Caenorhabditis elegans: one gene and its partner. The gene in region 2 interacts genetically with the main gene of each other region. Each region holds a gene or a part of one and is shown on either strand. Other genes may lie near its edges. The genes, in order: cam-1 and lin-17.

Region 1 (16,018 bases), on a different chromosome or scaffold from region 2:
GCTTATCCGAAATGTATACGAATATATTTCTTTGACTAAATTGGAAAAATGTTTCGGGTGGGACACCACACAGAGAAAAGAAAACAAAAAGAAGAAAAGGAAAAGAATAAACCGCCGGGTTTGGAGGCACATTAGAGTGTTGAAAACGAGTATGTACTACGATGATCCAAGATGTATGTACTAGAATATGCACGACCATCCCAAAATTGGTTTCTGGGGAAGACTTGCAAGAGAATGTGAACAATTGAGATCCGAAGAATTATCATAAGTTTCAAGTTTTATACGTTTATTTTGGGCCTATTTTTAGTCTTATTAAATTCTATTGTGGGCATACACGCGGGCCTACTCCGTATTTGGTTTTCGAAAAAAATTAGCGCAAATAAAAGTTTTTCTAACATGAAACTATTATTTCAAAACTAAATATTCTAGTAAAACCCTAATTAAACTAATAAATCAATAAAATGGCAGAAAATGATAAATATCATTAGAGAGACTGATGTTTCTTTTGATAATAATCATAAATAACCACTAATTTGCTCTCGAACGGGGTCTATCATCGGGTGGTAGGTAAGATAAGAATAGATAATATGATTGAAAGAGACGCCGGAAGATCATAGAGCAGTCAGAAGGACGGGCTCACAAGGTTTTTCGGGAGTTTGTCGGCACAAACGGTTGTGATAAAGAATTTTTCAATTAACTCTATAATTCATTTTTCCATTATTTCATGTGTTTTTTTCATTTTGCAGATTTGTCGTCGAAACTATACATAACAATCTGTAAATAACAATGATGAGGGAAAATGTGAGAAAGGACCGTAATGGATGGGTGGTTGACGGAGAATCGAATCGAGATAGGAGAGGTCTGTTTGTGAGAGGGAAGCAGTGAGAAGACAGACCGAATGACAGATGTGCACTATATGGGCGGTTCAATATCTATTTCAAGAGCTCTTTTGACATGGTATTTTGAAGTGGTGCTGGATAAAACGTCTACAAAAAAACTGGTTGAAAATCTTGTTTCAGTCGAAAAATAATATTTTCAAATCTATTAACAAGGAAAGGAAGTCAGTGGAAATAATTTTTTTTAACTGCAATCGGGCCCTTTGTAAAAAATTGTAAAATTTTGTAAAAAGGCTCAATTCGAAGAAATATGTAGCTTTTTGCATGCCCGGATACAAAAAAATAGTTTTGGAATTTTTTCAAAAAAAAAAAATTTTTGACCAAAAATTTGGTGTCCAATGGATCGAAAAAATTTCAGATTTTTTTCAAAAAAATAAAAATTTCCAAAAAGCTCCCACATTGTTTGTTAGACCCTAAAAACCACCAAAAACAATTTCTAATCGCTCAGAACCACTTTTAAGGCCATTTCCTTGACCTAGAATTCAGCGAAAAAATGCACTGGAACACTTTCAGATGGCGATTTCAGGGGTTCAGAGTTGAGTTCCGCCGCTGAAATTTTTGTGGTGATCTAGTCTAAACATAAGCTTTCAAATGACATACGTCTCAATTTAAAGTCCGATACTAGATTGACTTCCTTTCCTTGTAAGTGAAATTGTTTCATGAAATTGAAAATGACGTTTTGGCAATACAACGAATTTACCCTACATATCAGTCCACTAAACTTTAACAACATATATCTTGCTACATTTCACAACTATCAAAAAATATCACAATACCAATATGCAAAAAAGGAAATAACAAATGTTTCCACATATGATAATTTTTGTTAAAGCAAAATACAAGAAAGTTATGAGCTACCAAATTAGAGCAATGCGGTGCAACCCTGATAGAGAAACATAGTAAAAAATGTTTCCTAGATGCACTTGAGGAAACCTCAAGTGCATTTTTAAAAAATATATCCAACAAGTAATCTTTTTCAAAACTATTTGGCGGTTTGCGTTTTTTTAGGCATTAAAACCCGAACCGTTTCCCTCCAAAAGTCGCAAATCATCTTCAGGTGTCGAAAATTGAAAAATGAGATAAAGAAGATACCAGTAACTGAAAAAAAGAAGAAGAAAACAGGAATACTAGTAAGAACAATGTGTGGTATTCGGTGTGGTACCACACATAGAGAAGGAGAGGGAAAAGACGAGGAGAACGATCCATCACTGGAGCTGACAACTATCGAGGGTCTATCGATGAGGTTGAGGTTTTGGCAAAAGAAGAAGAAAAAGGATGGACAATTGGGGATGATATGAAACATTAATAAAATTATTTGAAAACCCTTTTAAATTTAGTAAGCATATAATTTAACTTCTAGACAAAAATTGGAAGACAATTTTTATAACTTCAAAACTGGCAACATTCGATTTGAAAAATTGCAAGCGATAAAATTTCATTGATAGCAAAATCGGCTTAATTGGATGTAATTTTTCTTTGCTTTTTTTTACTTTTAAATTTGCTTGGTAACTCTTGGAGCATTTACTTTGGAGCACTAAGAAAGTTTGAAAGTGACCCAACAGGTATCCTTGCACTAGTCCAGAAGGGTCAGCTGTTTCAATTGGAGGTCTAGTTTATTGGGTTTTCTATGCTCACTTTTAATACGCAAAAACGAACAACAAGTGGGGGTTTGGATACACTGGAAACTTTTTGGTTGTCAAAAAAAAATAGAAAGTTGTAAAATTTCCAATTTAAAAAATCAGTTTTAAGTCACACATTTCAGCATAACGGAAAAAAAACAGAAAGTGGGTATTATATACTTTTCTTCTGAATAATTCTGTGCAAATCGCAGAAATTTTAGTTTTGAATGGTATAAAATCATTCAAAAATAATTCCAGGCAATTTTTGTATATCCACCGGCAATGCACGTGCACAATAAAATTTTTAACTTTCTGCTATTGGTGAAAAAAATCGCACTCTTTCAATTGTTTATTTCAGTCTTACCTGAACTGTGGTGAGTCCTGTTTACGGTAGATTGAATATAACAATTTTTAGCAAAATGCGATCGGTTTTTTAAAAAAATTTTCAGTGCCCTCCTATATCTAAAATGCTCTAGGATAATAGGTTTCGCAATATCTCCAGCAAAGTGACCAAAAAATAACCGACTCATTTCGAAATACTCTCACTTTTGAGATGGCAAAATGCTGCTAGTACTACTTCTACTAGGGAGCCCGAGACCAAAGACAATTTCAATTTGGTGGGGTGCAACAAAATGGGCACCCCTAGCACAGCTGATGTGAGCGGAAAGGAAAAAGGCATCGGTTGATGATTCAAAGAGAAACGGAAAAAGGAAAGAAAAGGCGATGCGCTACCAATTGGTACAAAGAGACGGAATGAAAGAGAAATGAAATTGACTATACAAGTCTTAAAGAGCTCCATTTTATGTCATGATGTAACTGTGCTTGGAACATTCTGACATTTTTCTAGAACTACATCCCAGCTCGCAACATATTCCCATTCATCTAAAAAGTTCCAACTAACCCTGAGCACACTTGTCGTGTTAACCGAGGCTGCTGGATTTGAGACAATGCATTGATAGTATCCACTGTCTAATACGTCCAATTGTGTAATGACTAGTCGAGATGAATTCTCCTTATCACGAATTTTCACTCGTTTCGTCTTTTCCACTGGACCATTGTTTTTGAGCCATCTAAAATCAAAAAAAATTGAGTTTCGGAAGTTTGAAGCGTTTTTAGTCCGGCTAAAAATTTAGCAAAAGGTATCTTTATCGAATTTTGAGCCTTGCAAAAAAAAATATAAATTTTAAGCTACAATGGATTTTTGTAAAGTTTTGTAACTTGGAGGAAGTACAAAATTTTTCAAGGTTTTTTCAAGCTTGGAATGGTTCTGCAAGAAGTTTTTACAACCAATAGGTGGAGTTATATTTCAAAACAAATATATAACAAATATTCTTAAGTTGCAAACTTTAATTTTGAAACCTCCAAACAAAAAAATTTATTGAACCTATTTAATAATTTTTTAAATGTTTTGTATGACGGTTGTTGATAGTTTTGCAATTATTGGAAAATTCAAAATTTTTAATTTTCAAAATTTAAGATTTAACAAATTTTCAAAAAAAAACTTACATAAATTTGAGTGGTGGGGTTCCAAGTGCTTCGCACTTAAACCGAACCTCGTCTCCCGAACTTTTGGTGGCATTTCGAAGTTGAGAAGTGAGACGGATGTACGGTCGTTGACCAGTTGATGTACCCTCCATTCTGAGACAAAATGAAAGTTAACGAAAGAAATCTAGAATTATGCAAATTTAGAACTAAAATATAACATATTCCCAAAGCAATAAATTCACCGAAAAACAATTTAATGGAAGGATGTTTGTCTTCAAGGAAGAGCCAGTTGTCGGGAATAACGAGGAGGCAATGGAGAGAAAATGACATATGGTCTTGGGGTATTATGCAAATTGAGAAGGCGAGATAATAAGGGAAAATGGTGAGAATTAATGGAATAATTGTTATGTTTTCATTTGTAAATTGGCTTAAAGTTGAGTGGACTGGAATGATTAAGTCAGAAAAAATGTTGAGAGTAGATAATTTTTTAACCAAGATGAATACTAGATTTGAAAATTTAAAAAAACCTATGTCTATAAGAGAAATTAATTTGAAATTCGGTTATTATCAAACAAAAACCGCAACAAATATATCATAACGTTGTATTAAGTTTATCAGTTTATAAGTTTTGATAAGAAAAAGAAAATTAACTATTAGGGGGTCTACAAAGAAATTATAGTTCGTCATTTTTTTTCCAAAAAGGGTAAAATTTCTAAAAAAGTACTGTTCGATGAGCTCAATTTGAAAAAAAAAGATAATGCTCAACTAGAGCTGTTGTTTTATACAAACATTGCATTTCTCGAACTTTCAGTTCGGAAAAATAAAAGATTAAAAAAATTCAACTAATGAACTGCAAAACTCCGATATTCGTAAAATTTTACCAAAAAACGGCTAACGAAAGACGACACCAAAAGGGGTCATAAATTGCATGAAGCTGTCGGTCAGTCAATGTAGGAACTAGTAGCTCATTATTCACACAAGTGGGATGTCGCATAGCCAGCACAACTCGGTCTCTTCCTAGAGTCCCCGAAAATGAAGTGAAATTGGACAGGCGATTAGAGAGTACATAAATTTACGAGATTACAGAGAAACTTGCAGAGAATAGTTGTGCTCTCAGAGAGATGGAGATGACACTTTTCTTTTCAAAGTGAAATTGTCCGAAATAGGAAGAAAGAGAGGAGAACTTTGTATTTCTATTCATATTAAAATAAGTGGAGACTTGAAAAGAATTGGAGTACTAGCGCTAGTAGTCGTTCAAGTTTTGCTCTAAACTTTAGAATTTTTTAGAAGGATGATGGTTGGCATTGGAAAACCCAAATCTTTAGAGAAACTTAACAATAAATAAAATTACTTAAACAATTTCTTGACCAAAGAGAAAAATGCAAAGAAATAAACAAAAAATTAAGAAGCGGTCGAGAAAACTCAATTTTAAAGATTTGGTAGATCAAGTCTGAACAAAAGATCAAATATCCAAAAAAAATATATGAATGGTGGAGGGCCAAGAAAACCTCGCCAAAAATTATGATAACCACCCTGGTTTTTAGAAAATGCCTATCTAGACTTCAAGTTACATTCTCCGTTTTCTTCTCTGAATTAAAAGTGGAGCAATTATATATTTATTTCTAAGAAACCTTAAAAACTCGCATTCCCAGCAAGTTTCAATAGAATTTTTCAGTGGAAACTTTAAGATCAAATCCAAAAAAACATTAAATTTCACAACAAAGTATAGCATCTCAAAAAAAAAACTCAAAATCTTGTCCCATGTCCCAGCTTCCGAAAAATGACAGATTGTTCAAACAAGCGAAGATTGAGCAGATTTTTGCACTTATCGACAACGACGACACGGAGAAAACTGCTCAAGAGCCCTAGAATAATCGGATCAAGTGTGTATGGTCCCGGGGTGATGGAAAAGGGTACGCTTTTTGTATGCTTATGTTCTCAGTGAATGGTGATGAAGAGGGGATAAACAGATGTGTGGAGATTATTGCTTAGAAATTTTGGTTCTTAAAAGGTTTGAATGAAACATTTTAGAGGGTAATCAAAGTTAGAACAAATTGATCAAGAAAAGGTAAAGTACATAAAAAACATTGATAGACGAGCATCATTGCAACGGAGCAAAATAAAAAGATTTCTCTATTTTTAAATTTGAATCTAGCATCAACCTACAAACTATTGTATGTTTGGAATTATTTGTAAACATGAACAAATTATTGGTAGTAATGCTACAAATTTAATTTCCAAGACTCGTGCAGGAAGAAGAGTACAAGCTAATTAGGTCTCTCTCCATCACTTCTAGTGAAAATAAATGAGAAATGAGTCGGATGGATTGGGAGGGAGGAGAAGCAATGAAAAGAGCATCAGTCAAAACTAATCGAACATTTGCTCCTTCTCCACCATTGGCTCCTCATTCTCGCTTCTTCTTCTACCACCAAAGGGACCCTGTGCTCACTCACTAAATCACGAAAGTTGTCCGTGTGTGTGCGAGACTTGGGGGCGCGTAAATAGTTGAAATAATGATGAAGATTGATGGAGTTGCAATGAACTAAAGAACATGGGGAAATTCGAAGAGTCACAGAGAGATGGAGAATGGGCTCATGGTGCCAAATTTGAGAGTGTGTATGTGACTTGTATTTCGAATTTTCAAATTTGGAATCAAGCAATGTAGTTTTTTGGTGTTGAAATTTTTTGGGCAACTATAATAGAAACATAAGAAAAATTACACTAAGAAGTTTCTGAAAATAATCTTTCTAGGGAGTATAAGTTTAAAAAATTGACTTCCAAGTTGTCCAAACAAATCACAAATTCCTATAAAAGATCATCACAGTCTCTACAGAGAGCCAGTAAAAGCCGACTACCGACAAGGATAAACATGATGATGAGAACGGAATTGGAAAGTGGATCACAAACATTGAAACAGTGTGTTAGGCACAATTTACTACAGAAGAAGAGACCGAGATAGATACAAACACTTTTCAACCCAATGTTTTGATCTTACAATCACTTTCGGTTGTTGGGTGTACTTGCAATTGGTGGAATTGTTAATATGAAAATTTAAAAAATCACTCAATTTTTCTGTGCCTGAAGAAAGTTGACTGTGAATTGACTAACTGCAGTTTGCCACCCATTGAAAGAAATGGAAATAGTTCAGTCTGAGCAAAATAATTTCGAAATCAAAAATGCTCTATCAGGTATAACCTTGCCTCAAAACAAAATTTCATCTAAACCTGAACACGAGACTCACTAGTCAGTAATAATAGCCCACCTAAATGACTATTATTCGCATCGAAATGCGAGTTCCATTAGCCTATTCAGGAGTAATAGGATATTGATCCAATTGCAAATATACTGACAGAGCCTGGGAAACAAGTATAGACAAAAGGTGTGAAGGGAGTTTTGGAATACGGGAAGAAGATGGAATGGTAATAGATAGATGACGTAAAAGATGTGGAACGCATGCTCGGCTGTCAGGTCAAATTAATGGAATCGGTGATAAGAGAAGAAGAAAAATAAGAGATTTGATAACGAATATAAAAAAGTAAGTTTTGACAAATTTTTCTACATGTGAGGCTGAAGATATAAAAATAATTTAGAATTTAGTTAAAAGTTGTGGAAACAAATCTTGCGCACTTAAAGAATAGTTCTCCAAATGGCAAAATATGGAGGTTTGTTAAAAACCGTAAGATTGTTTAAAACTATCTCCAGGATTTTAGTACACTAAACCTAGAAACCAAAATAAAAATTCAAGATAAATTCAGCTAATTCAAGTTTAGGAATATTTCATTTCCGGGGAGGAGAAGTGCGGATTGACTGAACGATATTTAGGATTAAGCAGACTAAATCAAGCTAGTATTAAAATGCCTATTATAGATTAGTAATAAGACCTTAATATTGGAATCAAACTGTTTTCTAATCACTAAAAACCGTTCAAAAATGATTCGAAAGTTATAAATTAATTAGAAAAAGAAACTAATAAATAGTGATAAATTAACTTCTTTTTTACGATGTGTCATCATTACAAGGCCAATAAATTATAAATCGAGTAGTCCATCCGTCGGATGAATGTGCGGAGCGCGTTTGGCGGGGAGGGCCCATTCGACAGAATCCCCGAGAAATAGTATACTGATTCAATGAGACGCAGAGACACAGGGGATGACTGACAGTAGGAAAGAAGGCAGAGGTCAGTCCGTTTTGTCAGATATTAGGGAAAGAGAGAGAGAGAGGAGATGGTCACGGTTAGGGTGGGGGTGGTCCGTTGTATGGGTGAAAGAGGAGGAAGACGTCCGGGTGTTGGTGGATGTATATAGGTGTCAAGTGGATTATGCAATATGTAGAACAGAAGAGGTGGGAGAATGGTCATCCATTATATGGGCATGTCACTCCGTTTGTTTGAGGGAAATGAGCTTGTGTCAGTTAACCCAATTTCCGCATCCGGAATGACATTTTGATGCTCTATAGTGGTACAAAATATGGATGAAAAAATAATAATTGAAATTTCCAAAAGAATGGGTGCTAACGGAAAATTTTGGATCGTGATGTTATATCTAATTACCAAAATTCATCAAAAATGTGAGATATCGGCATTTGGCACCAAAATATTACACAACTTTTCTCTTAAAAATACAAAACTGGCGAAAAAATTTGTAACACTTGACTGAGACCATATCCAAGTATTGCTCGAAAAATGGAAAAAATTGAGCGAGTTTCAGCTTCTGCCCACGTTTTGCCTAAAAGCACTATATAAAGTTTGTCAATTTTTTTAACAAGTTAAAATAACTTAGGCAAAAATCGAGCCAAAAATTATTTTCATAACGATTTGATTTTTGATATTGACAAAGTATTAGCTACTTAAAATTCACAAAAATTTGAAATAAATCACTTTCGAAGTTGACCCCTTTAGCAATTAATTTAACTCAAAATCTAATAAAAATTGCGCTAAAACTAATCGCAAGTTGCAAACTTGTCAAAAAGATGAAAAATGGGAAGTCGACACGACGGAAGTTTTCAAGATTTTGAATGAAGATAATAAGTTGGGTGGAGGGAGAATTGCAGAAAAATTTCCCATTGAACATTATTTTTATAATCAAGATTCTAACGGTGAAGATCACATACTGCATAATACTCATCGGGCGAGCTTGATGAATGTGGGAACGGATGGCGGTAACCATATGGTTTTATTCAGAAATCAAGAAGTAATTGGGTTTATTTTAAATACATTTTTTGAAAATCTATATGAACTGATCTATATGAACATATATGAAAATCTATATGAACTGATTAAATGCTTTTAAAGTTTATATTTTATACGCCAAGAGGTGGACGCGCATTTTAGAGGTCGTTAAAAATTTTTGTAGTCAGCAAACTGTACATCTATAGACTCACTAGATTTAAGCATTTTGTGTTTTTGAGGCAATCTAATAAACTACTTGTATTTGACCCATATTCATTTAATCTGATAGTAAATAACCGAACCGTTTGTTGCCAAAATAGGCAGCTACAGTTTCTACCACCCGTATCTAATTACTATAATTATCGTATCAAAAGACAGTAATACTCACGATGCATTTCCGTAGTGAAGACCCTCATCGTCGGCTGGTTCTATCACGAGATCGTCGTCTTCTGGTCGGGGAGACATTTCTGGAATATTCAAGATTTAGGGTATAAAAATTAAAAAATGGAACGAGATGGTAATATACAGAGTTCAAAAATTTATTCGAATCGAGAATTTCAGCACCAGTAACATAAAAAAAGGTAATTCAAATATTACTTTAAAAAAACAGAAATTCATAAAGTTCAGTGAAGCAAAAGTTGAATTGAAGTATAAAGCTTAAGCCGGCTAAAAAAAAAGTTGAGAAATGGCAGGTGAGATTTCAGAAATCGCAGAATTTATCATGAGAATTTGAGAGGAAATTTAAGAAAAAGTATAGAATTTCAGTTTTCTTAAGTCATGAATTCGACAACTTTTCTCTCTTCTAATTCTGAATTCATTTCCAGAAGAGACGCAGGTCTTTTTCATTAGATGACAACTTTCAGGACCACCAATGAAACTTTTTTTCTCAAATCGAAATGAATTGAGGATGAAGTACAAAAAGAGACGGGAAAAAAGTCATTTTCATATTAGTAGTACACATTTTGATGCGCTTTTCCACTCATTTTGCATGTAAAATAAATGTGATGGATGACTGAGAAATGAGCAGGAGCACGAAGAGTTGTGAAGCAATGAGTTAGAAGAAAGAGTTGGTGATGAAAAATGGAAGAAAATTGAATGAAAAAGAGATTTAGAGAAGAAAAGATGAGCATTCTTTCATGCAATTTTAGTAATACACGGGTTTTCACACCTGTCTAATAAGGCTTATAAAGCAATTTGGAAAATAATTGAGTTTCCTGACACAGCTGGATATACACTAGATTGTCACTTATTTTAAAAGTAAGAAAGTGGAATTATGACGAAAGTTTGTCAAAAATTTAGGTGTTTCACCCATCAAAAAACTCAACTGTAAAATTTTTAAAATGGTGTTCTTAAAATGTTTAATTGCATGATTTTATTTCCAAATATTTTTTCTAATATTTCACTTTGTCATTTTAATACTAGAAACCAAATCCCAATTTATACTTGAAAATCAAGGTCCAAAACAAACTCCGGAAATAACGTGAGAAAACCAAATGATATGCTTCCTGTTGATGTTCTGAATGGAATTTCAAACGGGAATTCTGGGAGAGTCCCATTCGAAGAAGAACAGCTAAATTTCAGAGAAAACATTTATATATTGCACAAAATATGAGATCATGGATCTTCTAATTAAATTATTGAAAAATTGTCACATGTCCAGAAAGTCCAATGAACGTTCGTAAATTCATGGGCAGGTTTCCAAACCTTTCGACTATGTGAACAAATATTTTCAGGTCGATTAAAAAACTTTCAGAACGTGTAAATGATTACAATAATTTTATTAGAAATGATACGGTAGATATAAACAAATTGGCCAAAATGTATGTTCCTAAAACATGTGTGATCTGCAGTAGATATTTCGAAACCTTCAGCATGAGCTAATTTTGTATATGTTTCTCAAAATCCTAGATACACTGGAGCATTCATCCCTGAGAGCGTAAATCGGATAAAAAGAGAAACGCAAAATGATTATTATAGAATTTGAAAGTAAGTGCATGCTCCTGCTCGTGCTGCTTCAGAATTGTGTTCACCGAATGTAGAAGAGAGAAATTTCAAGAAGCGGGTCCTTGAGTGTGAAAATTTGTTTATGCTGCTGTTGGAAGCAGAGAAGAGGATTAGGCGTTGAGCACAAGGAGCTATGAGAGAAATAGACGATTATAATCAAAATGGACAACAAGTAGCCGTAGGAGAAGAAAATTGGAAATTGAGTTGAGTTGGTACGGAATTCTGTTGGTGGGAATTGTTTTTGAATAGGCATGCTGGAAATGTTGTAGTACTAAAAATATTCCCAAAAAACTAAAGTTTAGTCGCATTTCAATCACTCAGAAGCTTCTATGCTAAATAAAAATCTATGTGTGTCAAATTTTCAATACAATCTAAAAATTTATAGTATGGTACAGTTATCAAAAGAAAGTTTTGATAGGAGTCTATTAGATGTGAAAGTCCTAATAATCAAAATACGGGCAGATCGGGTTTTGAGTTGTCTTCACCGTTATGCTGGAACTTTCTTAAACTTTAATTTCCTATTTTGCAAAACAACTTGGAACAAAACTCTAGAGAAAATGAAGAAAATTAGCATATGCTCATATAGTTGGAACAAGAGAAATCTGATTAGCTAGGACCGCTTGTTGTACTTGATTCCAATGTGCCAAAAAGATGGCACATCTGGAGGGATACCTCTAATTAGAAATATTCTTTCTTCCTTCTTCCTCTTTAGACGTCAACAACGACAACAATGGGTGGATGAACCAAGAGAAGAAAAATAGGAAAATGGTGATTTGAGCCAACAGAAGGGTGTGAAGAGCTCTGGCACCCATAGGTACGAAGGGTATGAATGGGACCATTGAAATGTGAAGGATAAACAAGAAGTTTTGAAGAATTCGTAATCGTTCTCTCCGGAAGTTTGTCTATTCAAAAATGAGAACAAGTTGAAATGAAAATAGAGTGAGAGACGTAGAATAAGGTGTTCAAAAGATCGGATTAAGCAATGGGGGATTGCTAAAGGGCGGGAGATTTTGGAGAAGGAAACATTCAAAAAGTTTTGAATTATATTCAAAATTGACACGAAATGATTGAATAGTTTGAACATATTTAACATATTCAAGGCGACAGCTCAAAGAAAATTCAAATTTTTTAAGGAGGTCTGGACTATCTCTATAGGTACTGTAGATTTCATGGGTTACCATCGGAAAAAATGAATTCATGTTCAAAGTTTATTTTTCCTAATTACTACGTTAGCAAATGCTTTAACTAAATTAAGGCTTTCAAATCTAGAGGGCGAGCATGCAAAACTTTGAAAGTTTTCACAAGCCAGAAAGCTAAGCTGAAAGATTCGTCTTAAATTCGAAACGGTACAAATTCTAACTCGAAATTTCTACAAATAATTGGAGAACACAAGAGCATAGATGATCTTCTTCTTCTTCTTCTCGAATATCAATTTCGGGAGAAGTTGAAGTGCAAGCACCTTCTTCCATTCTCAAAGACTCTCAGGTGTCTCCTCATTGTGTTCTAACCGAGTCTAACACAACAACAACAGAGGAGCTCAGGCTCCCGTGCTCAAACAAGGCAGGAAGTATGGCACACCGAACCTCTCTCTATTCTCTTGTTCCTTTCACCAATCTCTCTCGTTTCCTAATTACGGTATTACGTTTCGGTGAGTATTGAGAGACAGAGATAGGCAAGTGCAGTGGAGCGAGAAGCGAAAACTTGAAAGAAAAGGCGGGGATCATAATAGGGACAATGGTTCAAAAGAGAAGAGCTATTCAATGAACAAGTAGTCAAAAGGATTTGTTGAAATGCTCCAAGAAGAGGAGGCAAATTATGAATGGGGTAACACGAAGGTTTGTCGAGCTCAACAGAGAGTAATTATACTTGAGCAGAAGCCTAACACGTCCTAATGTACTAAAAGCTTAGATGTCGGGAACCCTTTTTGACGTTTTTGATGAACACGAAGAAGAACAATGGAACGGTTAAATGAATGGGCAAGAATGAGAAAAGATGTACAAGGCACTTCATTTTCTATAATTACAAGAAGCTGGCTGAACGGTCAGCTGTGACATTCGGAAATATTTGGATACAAAAGAAGGGAAAGTTTTGACATGAGCATACTCGTTGCTCAACCTTTGCAATACAAAAAAGAAAGTGCATGAGTGGGGAGCCTATTTTAGACCTCAACGATCAGACGCAGGTCCTACTCTTGGCATTAATCTACTAAATCTTTGGCATTTTCTGAAACAGGTAAAATTTTTTGAGCAAAGCATTAGGCAAGTTGAAGCCAAATTTTCAGTATATCAAAAATTTGCAGTTAACATGTGTGGATAAAAAAAAGGGTTGTTAGGGGTTCTAAAAATTTATTTTTCCTAGAAATATTCGACCTTCAAATAGCAAATCTCTCTTATCACGGTCATTAGGGAAGCATAACCAAAACATATCTCATGTTGTCGTTCCGTTCTCGCAAGAACTCTACAAAAAACGAATAGGAGCGAGAATTTCAAAGTTGCAAAGTCCCCTAATTCTCCAATTCCTATAGAGACTGGAAAATTGACTATACGCAGACACAATCGACAGGTTTTGGAAACTAATTTGAGTTGTCAGATGTGAATGGAATAGGAAGAGAGTGAGAAGGGTCATGTTGAAAGAATTTTTGGAAAAAGGAAGGATAATCGGGATTTGATTTCGGACAAGCTTTTCAAATAATTTGAATGCTTGGTGACGGATTCTGGGAATTAATAACTTTTGAAGTTTGGCAAATAGTAGCTAGCTAAGTAAGAACTTTAAAAAATAGGACTTTTTATCAACGTTTTAATCGAACTTTTATTCGTTAAATTTTCTAAAATCTAACTTTTGCTTAATTCTGAATTACACAATTGGGTTTCTAGATATGAGCTTCAAGAAAACTATACTCAGAATACACATAATTCATGTCCAAATAAATCATACTAAAAGCTCATCCAGGTGAGCGCAATAAAATTAAAAAGCTTTTGTGCAATAAACGAAACTCAGACATCTAGCAAACGAGAGAAAGAGAGCGGGAAAGTGTGTTCAAAACGTCTCGAATTTCCGGACGGATAACCGCCGACGATGTCTCGAAACGAAATTCAATATGTCGTGGAGAAGAAAGTGCGTGTACTTGGGAAGAATGACGGAGGATATGCGGAGATTGTTTTAAAAGTTTTAAAGCTGCAAGAAATTGACACCTCATCTGAAACATCATTCGTTAAATGATCAGAAAACTGTGTGGTGGTAATTGGATACATATCAGAGTGGAAAGGGGGTGTGTTTTGATCATGAAAACCAAAGAAACATTGAATTTTGAAATTTGCAAACTGTATTTAAAACATAACTTTGGTGATGTTTTTTTTTTTCAAAAAATTAGGCCTAGTTTTTTGTGTACAATATTATTTTTAATGAATGGAACAACTTCCAAATCTAGACTAGAAATAGTGTTTTTAAGAATTCTATTTGAGAGCAATTTTCATATTTTTAAAGCTAGACATCCCGATTAAAAATTAATGACAAGTTATTCTAGAATTAAAAATATTTTCTTTAATTATTAACGACAAAGTCAAGGAGCAAATTTTGAGCTTTACCATTTTCATTAGATACATCCTCTTTAAAATGTTTTTGAAGACGATAATTGATTGAATTTTTCTCGGGAATGGTTCTATCACTTTCTTAACAAGTTGATAAAAAAAAGTTTTTTTCTAATTTCCCGTATCTTTTACCGTATCTCGTTATACCTAGTTCTAGATATGTTTTTAATTCATTACAGCTCAATAATTAAAGTGAGACCTCTGTTCAATTTTGAGACGCGGTAGGTATATTTGTACTTTACATAAAATGAACTCAAACACTGGGGGAAAAATTCGTAATTTTGAAATTCCATATGACGAATTTATATGGAGAATTTATACTTTTGAAACTCAAAATCAAATATTCTGTCTCTCTCTCATATCCCATCTCACACTCTTCTTCCATCCGAGTACATCAAAAAAGTTTTGAGGGGCGGAGATAAAAAGTAAATGATGGGCGGCTTAAGAGTTGCTTCTCTGGACATGCTTCATGGTGTCCGATTGAGAGATCATTCAGATTTGAGAGAAATAGAGAAGATTGTCAGATGATGTGATTGACATGGGGCAGCAGTGGAAGGGTGTCTTGTGAAAACCCGCAAAACTTGAGAACAGATTGACAATAAGGTTTGATAAATGACCAGGAACGTCTAGTACGAATCGGTTTTTTTTGGAATGAGCAATTTACAGTTGAAATGATTTTTGATGCATTTTCTTTCCGAAATATTAAAGATCCTCCATTTCAAAATTAGGAATTGGAAAGAAAAAGTGTTGCATAAGTGTTAAAATTTTGCAGAATGATCTTCACAAACCATATGTTAAACATGGAACGGGAAAATGTTTGGGGGCTCTCGGAGCAAGTAGTCATCATCCACTTGACATTGTTCTCTTGGATTGACACACTTCACACTCAATGATAGGTGAGTGTGGGAAGAGTAGAATAGAGATGGTTTTAGGGTGGAAGAAATGGTTTTTCGGAATTTTTACTCAAAAAAATTATGCTATCAATCTGGCAGCGTATTTTCCCAGTAAGTAGCGCAAACAATTTTTGCAATTAATAATTTAATAGTACTGTATTTTTTGCTCGTTTATTATATGAGACTCCTAAAACAATTGGCGTTTTCTAATACAATACGAGAATACGTTGCTGAGATAAAATGTAAGATCAAAATTAGATCAAGAAAACTGAAATGATATATTTATACTACCGTATATTTTCTATTAGTATTGCACATATAAGTTGTTATAACTACTTAGATTTCAAAGATTATATTTCGGCTCATT
Region 2 (16,168 bases):
GGCACGTATTGGGCAAATGATACTCAGAACTTTATAGTCAAGATGAGCGAAGAAATGAGGAGAAATGGATCAGAACATGTTTGGCTGAAACGATTACTGAAAATTGAATCGAGGTGGGTGAATTTAGAAAAAAAAATGGGAATACGAAATTTGGATATTCACATAAATCGTATTAAAGGCTTTATAAAAAGCAGTAAAATTTGTAGCTCTTGCTCTGAACACAAGCTTCCAAGCAGGCAACAAATTTCTACCCGCCTGCCTTTAAGAATGTCATCTTACTTTGAAGGCAACCTAGGTTTCTTTTTCTTTTTCGCCTGCCTTGTAGGCACATAAATAAGAATTTCTAAGTGCATCGAAGCCTACTCAAAGCATACCCAGACCTTGTGGTTTTAATATATTTACCTTCTAAGCCTAAGCCTGATCCTGAGCCTGAGCCTAAGCCAAAGCTTAAGACTAAGCCTAAGCCTAAACCTAAGCCTAAGTCTAAGCTCAAGCCTAAGCCTATAAGCCTTCTATAGAAAAACAAAAATTTTGACATGGCCTACAGTTCAAAAAGAGATAATTCTTTATTTCCAGACTGAATGGATGTGACTCCACCGAGCTTCTGATCCGATTTGCAGATGATTGGACATATTCATCGAATAGTGTCAGCTTAAGTTATAGAATCTTCGAAGGATCCACAAAAATCCATTCCGATCATATTGGAACATTCGGAGTTGAAGGGTGGAAGGAGATGAATGTTCCGTTGAAAAGAATACCAGGGGATCATGAGATTTGTGCACAGGTAAAGGGTTTTGTAAAAAAATCATTTTTCTATACAAAAAAATTAATTTCCAGCTCCTGAACCCAGCTGTATCCCGTCACTACGTGTGCTCCAAAGTAGTCGATGCTCTCGATTGTCCATTTGTTCTGGTTTCCGTCTCCTCCGATAAATCATCTTTTCTTTGTCTTTTTGTTCTTTTACTTTTTGTCTGTTTTTGAATAGGTTCTAGTTTTTGAAATGCAATAAAAAATCGAAAGTTTAACCATTTCTTTTGTCCTGGGGATTTGGAAGGTTTTGAGGAAACAAGTGTCTAGACACGTCGTTATCATTGTGCTGACCTTGAAATTATCCAAAAAGGCAAGTTTAAGGATAGGTAAGGTAGGTAATAGTATAGTCTAGGCCTAGCCGAAGCCGAAGCCTAAGCCACTGAACAGTCTGAAAGTTTACCACCAATTCTCCAAAGATCGTGGCGAGACCCACCAGAATAACTTTTGATCTTTGCGCACAAAATAGGGTGCATCGATCCAGCGCAAAAATAAAAACAAGCTTCTCACGTATTTAAATTCAAAAGCTTGAGAAAAAAATTTTGAACAAAACTTTCCAAAACATTTTTTTAAAAACGTGACAATTTTCTTATCTAATTTCTAAATCTTTCCACGTGTTTTCCAAATGTCAACGTGTCATGAAAAAAGCTCAGATTGGTTATTACCGAAGAAGTTCTCGTTTGAAATTCGATTCTTCTCACTCAACTCTTCGTCTCGTCGAAATGGCATCGCAATTTCTCCGTTCAACAAACTCGCGGTATGTCGCTGGAGTGCTCGCTGCTCTTGGAGCCGGATCCGCAGTCTACACACTCACTCCACAGGTAATTCTAAAGCCAAAAAAGGGCAATTTTCAGAAATATTTCCTTGCTCCCTTTAATCAGGGACCGCGCAACTCTGAAGCCAATTTGAGGGGGCTCCCAGCGCAGCTGCGTCCGGAGCGGTATGCCCAGAACACGTGATTTGTCATCATTTTGAAGTTTGTAAATCAACTTTTCTGTTTGAGCCGTTCCACGCGCGAGCTGAAACTCTGACATGAGAATATATATTCTGGGAGTCGATTTTTCAGAAAAAGCTTTACAAATCTCTAATTATAATTTTTCAGCAACTTCAAGCCAAATCCGAAGTCGACGCTGCCACGATCAAGAAGATCGAGGAGGCCTACGCCAAGCTCAATGGTCCAGAAGGAGCCAAGTGCAAGTCGCTGCTCAAGAAGCATTTGACCAAGGAAGTCGTCGAGAAGCTTAAGACAAAGCGCACAAAGGTCGGAGCAACCCTTTACGACTGCATCCGGTCAGGTGTCTACAATTTGGACGCCGGAGTTGGAGTCTACGCTCCGGACGCTGAAGCTTACACTTTGTTCGCTCCATTGTTCGACAAGATCATTGAGGATTATCACGGATTCAGTCCAAAGCAGAAGCAACCACCAGTTGATCTTGGAGAGGGAAAGACTAAGGAATTCCCACCATTGGATCCAAAAGGAAAGTACATCAAGTCGACGAGAATCCGATGTGGACGTTCTTTGAAGGGATATCCATTCAATCCATGTCTCACTCAGGACAACTATCTTGAGATGGAAGGAAAGGTGAAGAAGGCGTTCTCTGAATATTCGGACAAGGAACTCAAGGGCAAGTACTATCCATTGGATGGTATGGGCAAGGATACTCAGAAGCAGCTGATTGCTGATCATTTCCTGTTCAAGGAGGGAGATAGACATCTTCAATACGCAAATGCCTGCAACTTCTGGCCAAAGGGACGTGGTATCTTCCACAATAACGACAAGACTTTCCTGATTTGGGTGAACGAGGAAGATCATATGAGAATCATTTCAATGCAAGAAGGGTCTGATGTCGGAGCTGTGCTTGACAGACTTATCAAGGGAGTTCGCGGAATTGAGAAGCAGGTTGATTTTCTAATAAGGCTCCGAAACTCAACATATTATGTTTTCCAGGTTCCATTCTCCCGTGATGACCGTCTCGGATGGCTGACATTCTGCCCAACAAACCTCGGATCAACAGTTCGTGCATCCGTCCACATTGCTCTTCCAAAGCTCGCCGCCCGCAAGGACTTCATCGAGATTTGCGAGAAGCTCAATCTCCAAGTGCGCGGAATCCACGGAGAACACTCGGATTCTGTTGGAGGAGTCTATGACATTTCTAACAAGGTAAATAAACCACGTTTTTTGTTGAAAAATCAACATTTCCAACTTTTCAGGCTCGCCTAGGACTCTCGGAATATCAAGCTGTGAAACAAATGTACGACGGAGTGAAGAAGCTAATTGAAATGGAGGAGAAGCAGAAGTAAACTGGAAGAAGAAGAAAAACTCGTTTAGTCATATTGTATTTCTCTATTAACTATTTAAATAAATGGTAGTAGAATGATTTCTATGTTTCTTTTCTTTCTCTCACTCTATCACCTACTTTTACTCTTTTGACTTGAGCTTGAGCACTTGAAACAAGTCGCTCTGAAAATTTTTCAGTGCATTTTTTCCCAACTTTAGCAGTCCGTAAATTGGCTCCAAATGTGAATGTTTGCAGATTTTTGATGATTTCTAGGGTGTTCAGGAGCCGGAAATCATTCAGATTCGTTTTTTGGAATTTTTTTTAATTTTCGAAAAAATTCTCATGGATTCAAAAAAAATTGAGTTTTTTTTTAAATTATAAAAAATTATTTAAAAAATTCTGAATGTTTGCCGACCCCTGAACATCCTAGAAAGCATAAAAAATTAGCAAAAATTCACATTTGGAGCCAATTTAGAAACCTCGAGAATTGTGAAAAAATGCACTGAAAAATTTTCAGTGGGACTTTTTTCCTGTTCAAAGTGCTCCTCTGCCGCTAAATTTTTTTCGTAGGGGCCTATTCAGAAGGCATAGGTCCGAATGGCATAGGTTATGTTCAGATGTCCGGAATTAAGTTGAAATACTTCCCTTGTTAGATCTGATAAAGCTGAATACACCTCATTCAACTTCACTAGACCATAACTCAAATAAACTTAGTTTTATCAAAAATTGTTCAACTGACAAAATATGTGTTATCTAATCTTCTATAGTTTTTTGGTTGAAATTTTATTATTAATTCTAAGTTGAGCTGAGATAAAGCCTAATAGTGACGATTGAAACATGGTGCATCGTCCTGGAACACCTCATTCAACTTTATAGGCTCATAACTTTGTTCTAAATGAATTTATCAAAATGTTGTTAACTAACAAAACACTTTTTATTGTATTTTCTACAGTTTTGCAGTTGAGTGTTTATTTGCAACTTTAAATTGAGCTGAGATAAAGCTGAATGAAACATGGTGCATCGAACTGGAATATCATATTCTAATTTAACAACTCATAATAAATCCCAATAATTTGCTAGAAAAAAACACTTTTAAAAGTTAATAACCCATGATCATCTATTCAAAAACCAGAGAAAAAGATTTCTCTCCCTTTCTCCCTCTGGTCTCCCATGGTGTAGCTGGTGGTGCAAGCCTTGTCTCCATCTCTCCCTCTGTCCTAACGCGCGCCATTCGCCACGATTTATAGCCATACATACACACACATTTTTATTGCTTTCGGACCCTCTGACACACTCAGCGATTCGTACGCTCTCTGACCCCGTCTGTCGTTCGGACTCTCTGCAATGGGAATGCTATCTGAGAAGCCGATCAGCATCGACACCACCAGCAGCAGCAGCAGCAGTAAGAGGTTAGGTCGGACCCCAGTTAACCCCTCTCTGACTTCAGTTTGACCATAACCTAGTGACTTTTGAAATTTCGATTTCGAACGATGCTCCGATGTACTCTGCTCCACCCGGGTTCTACATAGCTTCTGGTTCTCTTAAAAAAGTGACCTACCGTATATTTTCTATAAGTATTGGCGTATCTATTAGGATTACACCCAAAGAAATTTGAATTTCTCGCAAAAAATGTTTTCTCAAAAATTCGAAAAATTCGAAATTCGCCAAAAATGTTCATCAGAAAATTGAATTTTCCGCCATCAATATTTTCTCGGAATATTTGAATTTCCAGCCAATAATTTTTTCCCAGAAAAATTCAAATTTCCCGCATAAAAATTTTTCTCAAAATTTTTTATAAGAAAATTGAATTTTCCGCCATCAATGTTTTCTCGACAAATTTGAATTTCCCGCCAAAAAATGTTTCTTTAAATTTTTGAATTTCCCGCCAAAACATTTTTCACAGAAAATTGAAATTTCCCCTAATGCTATTTTCTCAGAAAATTTGAATTAACCGCCTGAATTTTTCGCGCAAAAGTTTGAATTTAGTGCTTTCTAATTAAGTCCTAAAATAATCTAGAAAAAGACTGAATTTTTGAAATTTTTGTTCAAGCTGGAAAAATTGAGTCAGCAGAAAAAAAATAAAGACTTCCATAAAATTATTAGCATACCAGAATTTTTTTATATGGGATCAAAAATAAATCGGTGGCCTAGTTTCTAATTTTTTTTCTAGGCCACCTAGCAAGTTTCTGTGACAGTCCAAACAGTCCAAATCAAAGAAAATTTAAAGTAAATTTGAAAAAAAATCGATAATAGACTCCGCCCCTATCCTGGTTTTTTTTTGGCGTTTTCCTAGATCGCAGAACAGAGCTCCTCTCCCTGCCTAATCGCCTCTTGATTTATTCTCTTTATCTCGAAATTCCACCCCTTTGGTCTCCACCGACCGCTCTAATTTATGGGGGTTTGCAGCAATACTCAACTCCCTCACCATCCCTCTCTCTACTTTTTTTCAAATGTTCATTTTTTCGCGCGCCCCTACCACTTTTTATCACCTTTTCCCATATATGATGTCGTCAACGTCAACCTCCACTCCCATGTGTCCAGTCAAGAACTTTTTTTTTGTTTGGGGGGCTATTTGCACTAGTCGTACTAGTCATCACTTTTCTGTTCGCCCTTTTTGGGGAGAAGATGTTCTTTCTATTGTTGATCGGAGTTTTTTTGTAAATGGAATTTGTTGAGTCAGTCGATTTAGGAGTGAGGTGAAATTATTGTGCAAAAATTCTGGCCGGCTCATTTTTTAAGAACTTGCTTCAAACGTAACATTGTCCAAACCAGTTAAAATGTTATTTTTAAATTTTAAATTTCGGTCCTTAAAAACCAGACCTCGCCTATTTATTGGTTTTTCTTTCTTTTTTTTCGTAAACGCTCTGAGACCAAAAAAATTTGGCAGGTTTTTTTCTAGCTTGATTTTATATCTTACAATTTTTACTACTCATATAAAAGGTTTCCAACATTTTGGTTAAAAAACCTTGTTAATTTTTAAAAAAGTTTTCTTTCAAACAAAAAATTCTAGACACCAGAAAATACATTTATCTAATCTAGAATTTTCTTCTGATTTCGAAAATAAAACTTTTAAAAATCTCATTTCAATACTCGCAGATTTACGGTGATTTTTACACTGCGAGAAAAGAGAGCGCGCCTGGGACCTCTCACTCTAACCCGACGCCTGCAAAAAAAACCCTGCAACTCAGTTACTGTTATAGCTGTGAATATGAAAAGGGAATTTTTGGAATCAGCGGAAAAATTTGCTCTGGATGTTTGTGATTTTGAAGTTTTCTTACAATTCTTAAAATACCGCTTCAACCACAGTTTTTTTTTTAAATAAAAGGCGCTATAAAAATTATATTTTCAGAATCAGCGGAACATTTTCGTTTAGATTATTACAACTTTTTAGAATTTGAATATTTTTTGTAAAATTTACCTCAGTCTTTGCATAACCTCCACATCCAATCCCCATTCAAAAAGTGGTGTCTCTAAACTTTTTTCCAGCCCATTGACGATCCCGTCTTCAACACTCCCATTAGTCCCTATTTGCCTCTGTGAACCTTTCCTTTCTTTCTATTTTATGTTCAAGTCGACTAAAAAATACTTTAAGATAGACACACTTCGCTGCAAAACTCCCAATAATTTCGACATTATATACCCTCAAAGCGAATTTTTCCGCTAATTCCAAAAATATGCTTTTCATCTCTCTAGCTAAAAAACTAATTAAGTTACAGTGGTTTTTACAGGCGTGTGAGAGAGTGAGAGGTCGCAGACGCGCGAGAGTGTCTGCTTTCTCTGCGCTCTCTCATCTTTCAGTCGCTGGACTAAAACCCCCGTAACTCAGTGAGCTTTAGAGTGAGAGACACAAAAAGTAGATTTTCGGAATCAGCGGAAAATTTCTGTTTGAGGAACAAAAAGTTGTAAAATTTGGGAATTTTTTTAGTAAATCTTCTGAGGCCTAAACTTATTTTCCAGCCCATTGACGATCTCGTCTCCAATCCTCCCATTAGTCCTTATTTGCATTTTTACCTTTTCAAAAACTTCTCCACCTCAACCTCCTCCGTCTCCATCTCTCTTCTTCATTCTCCGTTCATCATTGTCCAGATGTGTGTGTTCGTATCAATTGCCCCTTCTTCTTCTTCTGATACATGTGTCGTATACACATACAATTGCCTATGACACGGGTCTCTATGTCATAAATCTCTTAAATTCTACAGCCCACCCTCCTCCTCCGACATCATCGATCGGGTGGTGTGCGTCTTTTCTCCATCTCCCCTTCTATCCACGAAGAACCTAATAAATCAAGACATTAAGAAAGAAACGGAGATCTTTCTGTTTGAGATCCCTTAGGCTCGCCCACTAATTTGACGTTGAAATATTGTCTCGATTTTGAGCCGCCTGAATTCCATCTTTTTGAAATTTTAGGCCTTTTTGAATTTGAATTTGAATTTAGTATTTTTCTTTTTTTTTCGTTTTTTCCGGATTTTCAGACTTTTCTATTCTGTTGAAAACTGGAGAAATCTACAAACTCCCCTGATGGCCGAGTTTTCCATTTTCAAGGCCACAAAAACATTATTCAAATTCATCGAATTTCTAGGCTTATCTAAAAAGTGATATGCATGTCTTTTTAGATACTCAATCCCCATTCAAATTTTTTGAAAATTCATTAACTGGGAGCCTGGCCTGTATTGGACGTGGCCTAGAAAAATATTTAGTGGCCGAGTTTTTTCTCCAGATTTTTGCAACAATTTTCACTGTAATTTGAGTCAAAATATTTTTTTTTAATTTAAAATATTCAATTTAGGCCTAAGTTAGGTAAACGCGCTCCACTGAGAAATAACTATGCAAACGCGCTTCGTTGAAAAATGGTGCAAATGCGCTTCATCGGAGAAAAATACAAAAATGTATTCCATCGAAGAAGATGATGCAATTGAGCTTTACTATGCAAATGGGCTCCATCGGTAAGTACAGAAACATTTTGATTTTCGGTGTTTTTTCGTGCCCCTTTTGTCGCATTGGGATTTGAAAAGATGCCTATTTCTTCCCGAAAAAAAGTTTCTTTCAAAATTTCTAGGTCCCACCACGAAGTTCATAAGTCCCACGGATTTTGGGTCTCATCACGAAAGTTTTGTATTAGGTAATCTACTAACAACTTTTTATAAAAGCACATCAAACCCAAATAGTGACCACTGATAGGGGGCGGAGCCTAAATCAGCCAACTAGAGAGCACGAGACGCAGCACACACCGTGTGTGTTTGTGCAGACGTCTTCCTTCTATTCTTCTTTCTCCATTACTCTCTCTATATGCTAACCAGACGGGTGCTGCTTCACCAGGAGCCTCTAATTTTTTTTCTGGGTTTGGTATGATTTTTCTAGAGCTTTGAAATTTTTTTAAAACCAAACTATAGATATTTTTCCCAAAATTTCAATTTTCCCATGGACCACTTTCCATTTCTCTTCTCCTGTTTTTCTTCTGTTCTCCGCTCCTCTCAACTTTAGTATTTTCTCGTTTTCGCTCCTCAAAATTGACTCTAATTATTCCGTAACTTTTTGAAGGCTCCTCGAGAGACTGGCTCCTTCTCCAAAATGATGCATTCTTTGGGCATCATTCTACTATTTATTCCACTCGCCACAGGATCAATTTTCGATCAGGTAGACTTATTGGAAATCTGAAAAATCGATGCACCATGCCTTTAAAAAATTGCACTAAACTTGCGCGTCAAATCGGATGTATTTGATGCTTTGCCCATCCGTTGCACCATGTTTTCAAATTTTCGATTCACCATAAGCCTACGACTTCTGTCCTAAACTTGCGCGTCAAATATGGTGCACCGGGTGAGTCACTTGAAAAGTCGATGCACCTTGATCTCTGTTATTAAGTTTACAGTTTACAAAACTTGCGCGTCAAATATGGTGCACCCGGTGCGTCACCCATATCCTAAAAAGTTGATGCACCATGTTTTAATGCACTATGGTCATTTAGTGAATTTGTCCGTCAAATCTGGCGCATCTAGTCGTGCCACTTTCCTAGATTAAACACCAATTTTTCAACTTTTCAGGCGGTGAAAGGGAAATGCATTCCGATCGACATTGAGCTATGCAAAGACCTGCCCTACAACTACACATATTTCCCGAATACCATTCTACACAACGATCAACACACGGTAAGCCCCCTTCACCAATAATTTCCATATTCTATCAATTCCTGAATCGGGTGATTTGCATAGAGGAATGGAGAATGAGGGAAAAGTTAAATTTTCAAATTGGTGTCCCATTCCCAGTCACACACAGAAAAGAGGGAACCGACTGACGCTGGTCGCCGCCGCCGCCCGCTAGCGGCAACTTCAAAGAGCCCCTGGTCTCGGCCAAAAAGTCTGCGCACTGGCCGGTGCACACGCTCTCTGGCCATCGCCCATCTCATCAACATGGACAAAAATACGCGAAAAATAAATGAGACAAAAGGGGGATGAAATGAATAGGGGGAGAGGTACGGTCAAAAAATATATGGTGCCGCGGGAAAGATTAACTCCGTTTTTTTTTTTTGGGAAATTGGAAATGGGGATTTTGGCCTATTTCAAAAAAATTTTAATTGCTGCATAATTTATCATGGCAGAAGGAGTCAGGTGTCAAAATTTTAGGACATATTTTTTAGGACATTCTAGGCCCAAATTTTAGTCTAAAACTTTAGGCCAACATTTTTTGTCCAGAATTTGGTCTGAAAATTCAGGCCAAACTTTGAGCCCAAATTTTCAGACAAGTTTTACGCAATATTTTTAGGCCATATTTTTAGGCCAAATTTTTAGACAAAAATTGTAGGTTCTAGGCCGCATTTGTAGGTCAACATTTTCCGTCCCAATCTTGGTCCGAAAATTTTTGTCAAATTTGAGTCCAAAGTTTTAGGCCAAAATTTATTCAAATTTTTAAGTAAAAAATTGTAGGTTTTTGGCCACATTTTTAGTCCATATTTTATTCAAAACTTTCAAAAGTTTTAGTCCAAAATGTTAGATCAAAACTTTAGGCCAACATTTTTAGTCAAAAATTTTTGGCCAATTTTTTAGGACAAATTTTTTGCCAAACATTTTAGACCCAAATTTTAGGTTCAACATTTAGTCCAATTTTTAAGCTAAAAATTAGGTTTTAGGCCACATTTTTAGTCTATATTTTTATTCCAAACTCTTAGACAAAAGTTTTAATCCAAAATTTTTGTCCAAAATTTTAGATCAAAACTTTAGGTCAACATATTTAGTCCAATTTCTAGTCCAAAATTTTTTGAAAAAAAAAACAATTTTGAGGCTAAAATTTTAGTCCAAAATTAAAGGCGCACACTCTTATTTTGTTTCGAGACCCGGTTAACAAATTTTTGGGATGAAAAGCACACAGTGGGTTGGGGTCCACTCCTCCGGCACGGTGGTTTTTTACTAAAATTTTTTGTTTTTTGTTCAAATCCAAACCCACTCTCTATCCAAATATTGGTTTTACATACAACTGCATTTTTATGACCACACCGGCTAAACGTTTTTCGATAACAAACTGATAAGCGAGGTGACGGCGGCGGCGGAACCTCAAAGGGGGCACCAGCGTCTAAAACATGTTTCTAATTTTGCTCCGCCGCACTTTTTACGACCTCCCGTTCTTCTTCTTCTTCTTTCTGTGCTCTTCCCCTTTTCATCAGATACGCATTTGCATTTCGAAGGGGGGAAACGGGGAGGGAAATGGGTTGTGGAAAAGATCCCCCATACTAATTGCATTTTGGGACCACAACAAAAGAGCCCCGGAGCCCACCCAGTGGAAGGGATTTCTATACAATACAAGGGTGCCGGAGAAAACATTTTTAAGGGTTTGGACCGGAAATCCTAAGAAAAAATTCGTACTTTCAGCTTCAAACCCACACGGAGCACTTCAAGCCGTTGATGAAAACAAAATGCCATCCACACATTCACTTCTTCATTTGCTCCGTTTTTGCTCCAATGTGCCCGATTGGAATGCCACAGGCCGTGACAAGCTGCAAATCCGTTTGCGAGCAAGTGAGGAAGAAAGTGGCCGAAGTTTTTATTTGGCGGCCACGTAGTAAAAGTGGAAAAATATTGGGATGGGTCAACTTTCGGACAAGTAGCTTTTTAGGGTTTAACAGAAAATCCAAAACTTTCCGAAATGAAAAAATTTTTCTCAATTATTTAATTTTGCGAAAAAATTTTCAAAAAGTTTTTAATATTTTTTCATATTTTCTTTAAAAATTTAGTTTTTAGAAATTGGCAAAATAATTTTAAACAGTTCTATAAAATCCAAGTTCGAGCCAAAAATCTAGAAAAGTAATAGCTAAAACTGACAAAAAAGAAAGTTCGCTTGTCCGAGAGGACTACACAAACCATAAGTCTCTGTTTTTTCGGGCAATTTTTTAAAAACTGTTTTGTCTTGTCAAAAGTTACATGAAAAAGGAAAAAATCGTCTAAAACCCGAGAAAATCCCTTGAGGGGTAATTTGAAACGGGGGATGTGGAAACGCGAAAATTAGAATAGGAGAGGGCTAATTTTTTTTGAGAAGGTTTAAATGGATTTTGTGAAATTTTGCCATTATTCTACAAATTATCATATTACAATAACAGAAAACTTACTTCCTAGGCTTAAACTAGGCAAATCCTCCGCGTTTTCGCATCCCCCAAATCTAACATTCCTCTAAGAGACCTCACGCTTAATTTTCTGATTTTTACGTCATTTTTAGCAGATTGTAACCAGAGCCTGTCATAATGTTACCGTAATGTCTTAAAATTTCCTTTTTTTCGCAAAAACCGCTCGATGCACCATGTTTCAAGCCAATTAACTCCACTTTTTTTGCAATTTCTTATTCTCGAATTTCCAAAGCAGCAACACCTGTTACTCGCAGCTGTGTGCTTTTCCCCCAATTAGGTGCTCTGCTCCACGGCTCATTACGTGCCCCTGGACAGGTGGACATCAATCATAATAGGAGCAGCAGCAGCAGCAAAAGTTGACTGTCTTATTGTAAACATCTGGCAGATGGGGGGTCTTGTAGGGCGGGTATTGTTTACCCTTAAGATTAACACACTAAAAAATTTTATTGCAGGTGAAAGCGGATTGCTTCTCGATATTGGAAGAATTCGGGATTGGATGGCCGGAGCCGCTGAATTGTGCACAATTCCCAGATCCACCGGAGCTTTGCATGAAGCCTACGGAAGACGAGATAACTGGAGGATTTTCGGCTCCCCGGCTGCCTACAAAAGGCTCGAGCTCATCATCCTCCAAGCCAACCGGGTGCCCCAGTGACCTTGTCGATGTGGATCCACACGATCCCAAGTCGCATTGTGCATTCGCGTGCCAGTCGAATGTGATGTTTAGTACGGATAATAAGGTGAGTTCGGATGCCTGGTGCCTGCCTGCCTACAAGGCCTACTGTAGCAAACTTGCGCGTCAAATTTGATGCATTGAACCATTCACCGAATTTGCTAGAATTAAGAGGCAATTTTTGTCAATAGAGCGGGTTTGCATTGCATTCCAATTTTGCAGAATAAAAGCCCCGCCCATTTCATGGTTTTTTCCAGAATAAAAATTTTAAAATATGCTCAAATTTCAGGAAAAAAAACCATTTTGTGGGCGTGTTCTATACACCCCCGCCTTTTTATGAGATTTTAAATTCGGCTTCCGGAAAAATCCAGAAAAATAAGCTCCGCCCATTTCATGGTTTTTTTTTTCCTTCCAGAATTCGGTTTTTGAAAATAGCTTGAATTCCAGAAAGAGGGGGAAAACAAGCGCCACCCATTTTGGGGGCGTGGTCTATAAAACTCCTATTATTAATAATATTAGGTTTTTAAGGTTCGGTGTCCAAAAAAATCGATAAAAATAAGCTCCGCCCCCCATTTTCGGGGTGTGGTCTGTAAAAGTTTTTTGACATTTGGCACGTGGTGTCAGGCTGTCCATTACTATTTGATCTACAAAAAATGCGGGAATTTTTTGCCCAAAAAAATATGACGTCAACACGTAATTAACCATACGAAATCAGTTGAGAACTCTGCGTCTCTTTTCCCGCATTTCTTGTAGATCAACGTAGATCAAGCCGAAATGGGACTCTCTGACACCACGAGATTTGGTTTTAAAAATCGATTTCCAAAAAGTTAGCAAAATAAGCCCCGCCCATTTTTGGGGCGTGGTCTATTAGACATATTTTATGAAGGAAGAAATTTTTGATTTTCGGAAAAAAAATTTTTAATTTGTTTAGCTCATTTTTGACCTATTGAATATGCGGCAAAAATTTAGAAACTTTTTTTGCGCGTCAATTCAGGTGTATTATACGGACCTAATGCATCAGATTTGACGAGCAAATTGAAAAATAGTGGGAAATTCAAATTCCACCCCTCATATGAAGCGATCATTACTATTAATTACAGCGTATGGTACGTTCATGGTCAATTTGGTTTGCCGCCGCAAACGCCGGCGTTGCTCTTTTCTCCTTCTTGACGTTCGCCATCGACCGAAAGCGATTCCGTTTCCCGGAGAGGTTTGTTATTATAAAAATGGGGGTCCTCTGGTGGACGAAAAAAGATGAAAGAAAGATACAATGAGAGAAGAAGCCAATAAGTGGGTAATGACGACGAGATGAAAATGAGTCACTTGGGGAAAAGAGGGTTGCAATTGGGAACCAAAAATCGTATATTTTTCCTGAAAATGGAAATGGGAAATAGGGTCTTACCGCGAAATATTTTATTTTACAGTAAAATATATTGTAATTTTAAAAAAACAAAATCAAAAATTGGCAAACTAAACATGGTGCATTGCGACATTTTGACGAAAATGCACTTTTAGAAGATTTAACGAAAAATGAACAAATTTTAATGAAAATCCAATTTTTAAGATCAAAATTTCATATTTTTTAAGGCTCAGAACTAATTCTCTAATGGTGTTTCACAAAATTTTGCTTTGCCGGTCAAATATAGACCAGAATTTTTGAAAAAAAAACAGCTCTCGATGCACCATGTTTCACCAGCAAATAGATTTGGACTCTAGCAAATCCTCAGCAAAAAGGTAAATTGCCGGAATTTATATTTCCGGTAAGTCGGCAAACAGGCAAATTTCAGTTTTGCCGTTCTGCTGAAAATTTTTGGCAAGTTGTGATTTTGTACTTTTTGAAGTTTCAGATTTTTTTTCTTTTAAATTCAATTTTAATCGGTAAAATTTTTAAAAAAAAGGCATCCTATCAATGTTCCTACATCTATTTTGAAAAGTAAGCAAATTCTATGAAAATATCTAAAATATAGAAAACGGGAAAATTTTTTTCAAAACGGCACAGTTTTAAGTATTTCGGTTTTATAAAAAATCCATCTAAAAATTTCCGGCAAATGGAAAATTGGCAAATTGCCGGAGTTGAAAATTTTTGGAGAATCGGCAAACCGGCAAATTTGCCGGAATTGGAAATTTTCGGCTAATTTGCCGGAATTGGAAATTTTCGGCTAATTTGCCGGAATTGGAAATTTCCGTCAATTCGGCAAAACGGCAAAGAATTTTTTGCCGAACGGCAACTGCCGCCCACTCCTGATAGAAACTCCTTCCAAAACCATTATAGGCAAGTTTCAGAAAGAAATTACGCGAAAAATCAGACAAAAATCGTTGGCCGAGTTTTTGCTTTTTCTAGGCCACGTAGAAAAATCAATTACCTGTATTTTTTGTTTTTATATCTTGGAAGCTCCTGATTCTCAAAATGATTTTAAAAAACAAATTTTAATCAGCTTTTTCTTTTAACTTTTTGAACAAATTAGAGCATACTGCAAATCCTGGAGAATCTAAAATTCCAAAAAATTTCCAGATGCGTCTTCTACCTATCCCTGTGCATCTTCATCTCCTCCCTCCCATACCTCACGCCACTCTTCATCGATGCTCCGATCCGATCCTGCCACGCACTTGGAAACGGGCGGTCATACCTGTCAATCGGAACATTTGACAATTCATATTGTCTTGCCTCATTCCTTCTTAACTACTTCTTCAGTACAGCGGCTGCCCTTTGGTGGTTAATGTTCTCATTTACACTGTAAGCCACTTATTATGTCAGTTAATCCCACCATGGGAATATTGTAGGTATTTGAGCGGTGGAAGGAAATGGGTGCCAGAAGGTATCGAAGCATGCAGTAGTTATGTGCATTTTGTTGCCTGGGGATTGTCGTCGCTGGCCACGATTATTGTGCTCATTTTCAACAAAGTCGACGCGAGTGAGCTCACCGCTCTTTGCTCCGTTGGGAATTTGAATTCGATTGCGTTGCTCTGGTTTGTGATTGTTCCCCGAACTATTTGCATTGTTATTGGAACATGTTTTATTGTTGGAGGATTTGCGAGCATGTGCAGAGAGAGAATTAGTTTCAGAACAAGGGTGAGTTTTATTAAATGGCCGAATTTTTTATCTCTTTTTCTAGGCCACTCATTTTTGAACGATTTTTGTGCGCTAACATCGATGCACCATGTTAGAAAATATAGAAATTACCTATTTTCAGTAATTTTTTCTAATTTTTCTAATCTAAAATATTTTTATAAAGTCTTGAAAAAGCTTGGAAAAAATCTGAAAAATTAAAAAAAATTTCAAAAATAGACTTACTCATCCGAGACGAGCTCAAAAATCAACGCTGAAAAAAAAATCCGCATTTTTCGTAGATCACACCGTAAAAAAATCAATAAAATTTATCGATTTTCAGGGCACAGACACATCGAAATTGGAGAAACTAATGGTGAAAATGGGCTTCTTCTGTGCTTTATTCATCCTTCCCAACGTCATCGAACTTGTCTGTCAATGCTATAAATTCATGATTCTCACCCAATGGACCCGAATGACAATTGACTGTAAACAACAGTCAGGTGCATGTCATCGGCCGACACCGCCGCAGGCTGAAATTTACATGACCGCCGTAATTTCCAGTCTCGCCACAGGATTCTCGTGTCTGATGTGGGTGTTGTCGGCGAAGACCGTCCACGCCTGGAAGAACTTCATCTTCTGTGGAATGTGCTCGTCGGCGCCGGTTAAAGTGAGTAAGGAAATGTGCTCTATTGAAAATTGCTTGACTGACTTTTTGTTAGGAAGAGAAACAAAAATTTGTACAGTTACAGTTACAA

What was found.
Region 1: of lin-17 (region 2) and cam-1, changing one enhances a phenotype caused by changing the other (phenotypic enhancement), as found in Caenorhabditis elegans (one study listed by BioGRID).

What each region holds. Positions count from the first base shown.
Region 1 is NC_003280.10:9,300,670-9,316,687, forward strand, and holds the start of cam-1 (Tyrosine-protein kinase receptor cam-1), read right to left. Parts: upstream 9,636-16,018; 5' UTR 9,633-9,635; coding exon 9,556-9,632; intron 4,185-9,555; exon of another isoform or gene 4,154-4,184; coding exon 4,022-4,153; intron 3,586-4,021; coding exon 3,417-3,585; intron 1-3,416.
Region 2 is NC_003279.8:2,698,975-2,715,142, forward strand, and holds the start of lin-17 (Frizzled-4), read left to right. Parts: upstream 1-8,624; 5' UTR 8,625-8,654; coding exon 8,655-8,720; intron 8,721-9,127; coding exon 9,128-9,232; intron 9,233-10,944; exon of another isoform or gene 10,945-10,945; coding exon 10,946-11,092; intron 11,093-12,146; coding exon 12,147-12,431; intron 12,432-13,464; coding exon 13,465-13,574; intron 13,575-14,876; coding exon 14,877-15,098; intron 15,099-15,145; coding exon 15,146-15,434; intron 15,435-15,753; coding exon 15,754-16,080; coding exon of another isoform or gene 16,081-16,084; intron 16,085-16,168. Other genes in the region: F32B5.2 (Glycoprotein), read left to right, coding at 2-113, 577-784, 838-981; F32B5.1 (arginine kinase), read left to right, coding at 1,446-1,628, 1,910-2,707, 2,756-2,968, 3,019-3,108.